Oryzias latipes: one gene and its partner. The protein of the gene in region 1 interacts with the protein of each later gene in a pairwise test. Links are inferred from orthologs where the notes say so. Each region holds a gene or a part of one and is shown on either strand. Other genes may lie near its edges. The genes, in order: naif1 and sox14.

Region 1 (4,544 bases):
AAGTCACTTCAATCACCTTTCTTTCTCATTCTGATGCTGGTTTGACCTGCAGCAGATCGTCTGGACCATGAATACATGACTACATGTGTTGAGTTGCTGCCATGTGATTGGCTGGTTAGGAATGAATGGGCAGCTGGACTGGTGTACCTGATCACGTTGGGTGAACTGAATGACATCTTGAACTGTTTGACCTTTTATCCTAATAAAACTCTAGAAAACACTTGTTTTTTTTCTCTGCCTGCATAAAACCAGGAGAATCCTGGACCAAACGGACCGTTCAGAACCGCCCAGTTTGTTCACAGAACCCGGTCGTTTGAGCGGCGTGTTTCAGTTCCAACAGTCAGCCTGTTAAAACGCAGCGACTAAACGGTTCTTTTGGTTTGATCCGTCACAGCTTTAGTTTCTTAGTTTGGTAACTTATTAAATAAATGCATAAGATAAAAACTATAAGACTTTGTCACACAATGAAAACTGATGAGCATGTTCTAATACATCCTCAAGGCAGCATCAGCAAAGAAAGAAAAATGAAAGACCCGTTAGACACACCTTCTCATTCAAAGAGTTTTCTTTATTTTCATGACTATATTTGTAGATTCACACCGAAGGCATCAAAACTGTGAATTAACACATGTGGAATTAAATACATGACAGAAAAATGTGAAACAACTGAAAATATGTCATATTGTAGGTTCTTCAAAGTAGCCACCTTTTGCTTTGATTCCTGCTGTAACCGAGCGATGGGGAGGTTCAATAATCAGTCACTCTGTAGTCATAAACGAGACGGGACAACCAGTCCGCCATTTAGTGGATCTGCTCACCACTTCTTTATTCTTCTTCTTCAACTCCCAAAACTAATGATTCCCTCTGAACTTGCCACGCCCCCTGGTCTCTAGGGTCCCGGGAGGGACACACCTCTCCCAAAATAAAAGATCCAGGAAGTTGGTTACACTGCTTTGCTCACTCTTGGCATTCTCTGGATGAGCTTCCAGAGGAAGACTTATGGTGTCAAAATAGAGCCTAAAGTATTGCGCATCAAAACAGTAAAACCGCGCATCAAAACCCCAAGACTCTCGTGACTCTCAGCTCACGCGCGTCTCTGTTCCAGAGCGCAGAGCTCCGAGTCGCGGCAGAACGAACATGTTCTGGTCTCCAGAACCTTCAGGCGGGTCAAGAATAAATAAGGTTCATGTATGTGATTCATTCATAGGATGAAGGAACACGTCATTCTGGACGGTGCTCCACAAACGCGCGCGCCACCTTGACACTTCCGTTTTTTCCATCAATCTTTATTGAGGCTTCGGGAGCGCGCGCTGTTTGGCTCGTGCCTTGATTGTCATCTGTTCTACACAATGAGGCCCACAGAACGTTTGACGTCATCCCTCCACCCAGCCTATGGCGAAGCCGCGTTGGGGGGGCGGGGCTCCCGTAGCTGTTTGTTCTTCAGAAGAAGCCGATTCTGGAAGCCATTACGTTGCGCACAGCAGTTGAGTAAATCGCACTTTTTTGCGTACGATACGCACAATCCCTTGTCTTTAGAGGCTTTTCTGCACTTATGGCGTCGGCTGCCAAAAAAAGGAAAATGAATTTCTCGGAGAGAGAGGTGGAGATCATTGTGGAGGAAATAGAGAAGCAGAAGCACACACTGGTTAACCACTTCAATGCCGGAGTCACCCACATGGCTAAGAATAACGCCTGGGTCGACATCCTCCGCAAAGTCAACGCCGTCACCACCTGCCCCCGAGAGTTGCCCGAGGTCAAAAAGAAGTGGTCCGACATGAAGACGGAGGTGCGGCGGAAGGTCGCGCAGGCGCGCGCCGCCATCGAGGGCACGTCCGCCGACTGCGCCACGGTTCCCGTCATCCTCAGCGCCATGCAGCAGAGGATCTGCAACCTGCTGGGGGAGGCCACCATCATCAGCCTCCCGGCCGGAGACTCGGATGCTGAGCTGACGCTCCCGGTGACGGTGAGCGCCGGCGCCGCGGTCGCGCTGGCGGAGGGTAAGCGGCCGAACGAACGGCGGCCAAAGATCGTGTGCTGGTGTGATGATCCGCTCTGACAGAAGTTCCCGCTCCGATCCAGCAGCAGTCATGCATGATGGAGCGATGACATGTGGATCAGGACCTAAAGTCAGAAACATTCATTTAAGGACTGTGGGGCAGATTTCCGCTTCTGTCTAAAGTTTATGGTCTGTTTTTATTTACAGACGGGTGTAAACGCAAAGCTGTTAGGGAACATGGTCAGAAATCAGGATCTTCACATAAATGACTTATAATAAGAGGACCAACGTCGTCAGAGTGCGGTGAAGTTAGCGTCAGGTTGGATGTTTGAGCGGCGTCAACAAATTAACAAGTGCATAGATTTTACATCAAACTTTAGACTAAATGCTTTGCAAAAAGAAACAAATGACAATGAAACAATTCCTCATGTTGTGTTAAAACAATCGTATGTATTTTGCAATGTTTTCATGAGAAAAATGGTTTGAAGTTGATATCCTGATGTTTTTTCAATAGCTCCCAAACCATGTGACCTCATGATTCCATATATATGCACAATTATGGCGCCAGACACACCAAGTTATTTTGCAATTATAGATGCAGAATATTTTATATGAATTATTATATTAAAACTGCAGAGGTCTGAATTCTGGCTTTCCTTTCGGTTTCTTCCAAACCACGTGACCCAACGAGTCCAACTGTATGCAGAAATGTGGCAGTGACCCAACGTCATAGATGATGAATGTTCCATATGGGAGTATTCATGTGGGAACCTCTGACAACGGAATACATATAAACTGTTAATCATCTATGATTGCTAAACACATTGTTGTGTCTGATGCTGGGTGTCAGTGACACAACTCGGCTCACGTTTCACATCGCCGGGTCATGAGGGACGTTTTTGAGTCGTTTCAATGAGAACTTGTGGTGAAAGTTAGACTGATAAACCTCGAGCCATGTTTTGTTTATACCCCCCCCCCCCACACACACACACACACACACATGTTTTTCTTTAATCATCCTCCAACATCTTTACCTCCTTTTCCTTCCTTGTACTCATGATCTCCACCTTTAATATTTGGTCCCAAAAAAAATACATACAAATATAATGAGGCTCTATTATCGTTGCAGTAACACCGGTCCACCACTAGAGGCCCTCAGCTCCCATCTTTGCTGCTGGACAGAATGAGATTTAAAACAAATCTTTTTGAACATCACACAAAAGCACACAACCATAAATATGAGGATTTAAAGAAACTCAAAGACAGACGTTTAACAGTAATAAGATTCCCGGTGACTTCAAAATAAAATGCAGGTCAAAGTGTGACGATGAAAAAGTGACAGATGATGTGTTTTCATTTCCAGCTCTTCCGGCTGGTCCGGTGTGTGATGACCCAAAGGCTCTGAATGGTGAGTATTTACTCCTGTTTCTTTCTTGTGATTGACATTTCCTGTTATTGTGTCCAGACGTGATCCTCACGGTCCATCTTAGGACAGTCCTTCATGGTGTGTTTGAGGGTTTTGGGACGATCAAAGGGGATTTGATGAAAATCTGCTTTCCTCTCTCCTGGACCTCCCGCGGGGTGGGCTGGAGCGTGGGGCAGGTCTCCCTATGGGGGCCCTGGTTCGTGCCTGGGGTTGGGGGGTTATCATCGGGGGTTAGAGGTGTTTTCCCGGGGTGGGGCTCTGTGGGGGGCTATTCTTCTGGTTGGGCTGGAGCTTGCACTCTCTGCGGTCCTGTGGCCTCCCTGCTCCCTGGTGTGGGGGCCCCTGTGGCGGTCCTGCCCTGGTCTAGGTGGAGGACATGCACGCCGACGGGCAGGTTTCCTCTGTTTGCTACACTGTGTGGGTGTCGGGGGTCCAGGCTATCGCTGGTGCCTCAGCGGGGGTCTTGGTTATTTTCCATTCCATCATGGACCCCAGCAGAACAGACACCCTCACCTGAGCACAGGTGCTGTCTCACCTTTGACTGAATGAAATGTTTGCCATGTGTTGGTCTGTGTGCATATGTGTGTGTGTGAGCTTTAGTTGTATTGTGTACATGTTGACATGTTTGTGTCTGAACATCATTGGATCCAGCAGGAGTGTGTGAGTGGACAGGCCCCGCCCCCTTTAGACTAACATCTACACCTGACAGTAATGTTGATAATCTTCCAGCAACTTGTTGCTTAATGATTCTACCCCCCCCTCTATAATCATCCTTCTATTTCATTAAGTCCCCTCTTTTTCTCCCTTTCTTTTGCCCCCCCCCCGACACATCCATCTCTCTTGACTTCCTGGTTCTTCTGTTATCAGACACGGTTGTGTTTCACATGTTTCGACAGACGTCCTCCGTCTTCGTCAGAGTCATCATCAGATGGTAGCGTGTGACGTATCTAAAAACAGAAGACGACAACAGAACATGAAACCAGCAGAAACGGACCACTGCGAGCAAGGAAACCACATCCTGGACCAAAGTCCTCCGCACTGAAGACAACAGACACCACAGATGCATGGTGGTGCAGGTCCGACAGCGAGCCCTCACTTCCATGAACCGGGATGAGGGGGGCC
Region 2 (3,024 bases), on another chromosome or scaffold:
AGAGCGTGAGAAAGAGACAAAGATGAGTCTGAAATATAAAAAAATAAAAACTGACCTCTGTTTGGTCACCGTCAGCTCTGAAATCAAAAAGATAAATCTATTATTAATATTTTTATTATTATTATTGTTATTATTATTATTATCTAATAACAAACAGGTTGGGTCTCATTGTGGCCACCTAAGTAAATCAAAAATCTTCTTATTTTTGTCTCGTGAGCAGAGAGAAGAGAAACAAAGAAGATTTTTTATGTCTGTGCACGCGCGCAGGTGAGTTTACACCTTGAAATATAGGCCAACACATAAAATAAGCACCGAGCTATTTTGGGTGTTGAGAGTTCCATCTTAAAACAGCTTTAGCGAGTGCGCGTGCGCGTGAGAGAGTGTGCGGGGAGGTGCTTTCGTTGAATAATCACAGCTGAAAGAGTCATATATCACCTACATCAGGCGCATTAGCTCAGGGGCTATTAGGCAGTGGTCCTCATTCAAATGAGCGTTTTCAAACGGTGGCCGCCGGACTGTCAGAGTGAACCAACCCCACAGCCACAGACTCACTGTGACTCACTGTGACTGCTCCAAAACTGTGCATGCAACACTTTCTTTTAGGTTTATTGAATTGCATATGTCTGCGTTTGTTTGCGGGTGTTTTTGCTTGTTTGTTTTATAATTATTTTATCCATGCCATATTTTTGTTTGCAAGCTGGAAACTGAAGATAGACAGATAAAGGGTTGGAAAAATAAATAGGCCTATAATTTTTAGATTTTATTTTTACATTTTAAATATCTAAATGCTTTTGAGGGGATAGGGGGTGAGGGCGTGACCCCCCTTCTTGTCCAAGATTTGTTTCTATCTTTTAAACATAGCAATTCCTATGTCTGTCTAATTGATTTCGGTTTGAAATAATACATGACTGTTATTATTTTAGTTTCTAGTTTCGTTGCAGGAGAGCAGCGGTTAAAGCTCCCTCTGGCCTTTCGTGCGTCCAGGAGGACAATCCTCCTGAACGCTGCTCAGCATCGGTCTCTTGGTGTTCCTGCTCTGAATGGAAGTCGGGCTTTAACTTGGGAAGAGGTTGAAGGTTCGTGTTTGTTGCGATTTATTACATGAGATGTAATCGGGGGTGGGGGTCGTCCATACGCGCGCGCGCAAATGTCCTTTTTTCTAGTCCCCCCCCCCCCCCCCCCGCGTGCCTTTGTTTACGCCGTAACGCACGCAGCCCGTGCGTTTTTGGGTGAAGGTGTTAAAGAGGCGCTCTCCGTGCTGATTGGGCGCTCAGGTTGGGAGTGAACGCCCTGCAGATTATGTCAGATTGCGTGCAGAAACCAAACCAGCCCAGCCTTTGAACTTCACCGCTTTTGGCTCGTATTCACGCTCTTCCGCTCATTTCCAAACCAGGTGCTTGACGACAAACCTCCACCAGAGCGGCAGAGAGGGGGCGTCCGCGGCAGAAAATCAAATAATAACACCGGAGACTTTTATGACTACAGCAAACTGCGCGCGGAACGTGACTTTCACCTTTGTGGATGGGTTCCGTGTGCGCGTCTTGCATGCGCGTCTTTTCCTGACCCAGAATTGCAAAGCGGACTCCATTTGTGTTTTACCTCGGGAAGAACGGAACCGGGCTGGATTGTTTTTGTTTTCTTCTCCTTTTCCTGCTTCTTTCCCCAGAGCCGTGGCATGAGCAGACGCTGGCACGTGTTCAGGTGAATAGTTTACCTTTCCTCTGATAAGAGAACTTTTGGTTGTCATCAAGAGCGGGATAAAAAGTGCTAAAAGTTCGAAAATGTCAAAGCCTGCTGATCATATCAAGAGACCCATGAACGCCTTCATGGTGTGGTCCCGGGGCCAGCGGAGGAAAATGGCCCAAGAGAACCCCAAAATGCACAACTCGGAGATCAGCAAACGACTGGGCGCCGAGTGGAAGCTGCTCTCCGAGTCCGAGAAGAGACCCTACATCGACGAGGCCAAGAGACTGCGTGCGCAACACATGAAGGAGCACCCCGACTACAAGTACCGACCGAGGCGCAAACCCAAAAACCTGCTGAAGAAGGACCGCTACGTTTTCCCGTTGCCTTACCTCGGGGACACCGACCACCTGAAGGGACTTCCGGTGTCCGCTGCGGATTCTCTCTTGGGCTCGTCGGAGAAAGCCCGGGCGTTTCTCCCGCCGACCTCCGCCCCCTACTCCTTCCTCGACCCGAGCCAGTTCAGCTCCAGCGCCATCCAGAAGATGACAGAGATGCCGCACACGTTGAGCACCAGCACTTTGCCGTACGCATCCTCGTTGGGATACCAGAACGGCGCGTTCGGCACCCTCGGGTGCCCCAGTCAGCACACCCACACCCACCCGTCGCCCACAAACCCGGGCTACGTCGTCCCGTGTAACTGCACGGCCTGGTCAACGTCAAGTTTACAGCCCCCGGTGGCCTACATACTTTTTCCAGGTATGACCAAGACTGGAATTGACCCGTATTCCTCCGCGCACGCCGCTGCCATGTAACCCCACTGACTCTTTTTGCTCTTTTTATGTCACTTGAATACTGAAATGCATGTACAGATGGTATGGACAGCGCACCCCCATTCAAAGGCACGAACAGTATTACCTGCCCGGGCTGGTTGTGATCAGAAAAAAAAAAGAAAAGAAAAACACAAAAAAAACTTTTTTCACAACCAGTTCTTGGCTGAGCAAAGAAGCTGCAGCGAACTGTAAGAAATGTAAATGTTATAACGTTTATGGCAACCAGAAAAGGAGGCCTTTAACTTTATTTATGATGTACATTTTAATGCTGATATGCTGATTTGTGTTGATTATTGATAGGCTGCTCTTTTACTTTGAAAATCGGCTTGCACAATTAGCATTCACGTTTCCTGTACAGGCCTAAAACAGCCCACAGTTTGGCAAATTTTCGATGATGATCTGGACCTTTGGTCAACATCAGAACACTCGGGCTGCTTCACTTACGGGTTTTTTCTCTTTATATTTATTGGCTGGGAAAAAAATTGAGCATTCAAGTAAATGGTCTATT

Evidence for each region.
Region 2: the proteins of naif1 (region 1) and sox14 interact in binary tests that used the Homo sapiens proteins (3 or more experiments, as listed by UniProt). The two-hybrid records come from large-scale screens. The link is inferred for Oryzias latipes from reciprocal best matches to the Homo sapiens genes NAIF1 and SOX14.

What each region holds. Positions count from the first base shown.
Region 1 is NC_019870.2:30,325,341-30,329,884, forward strand, and holds the start of naif1 (nuclear apoptosis-inducing factor 1), read left to right. Parts: upstream 1-1,529; 5' UTR 1,530-1,552; coding exon 1,553-1,997; intron 1,998-3,359; coding exon 3,360-3,404; intron 3,405-4,544. UniProt on the Homo sapiens protein: Induces apoptosis.
Region 2 is NC_019862.2:4,463,419-4,466,442, forward strand, and holds sox14 (transcription factor SOX-14), read left to right. Parts: upstream 1-1,781; coding exon 1,782-2,498; downstream 2,499-3,024. UniProt on the Homo sapiens protein: Acts as a negative regulator of transcription.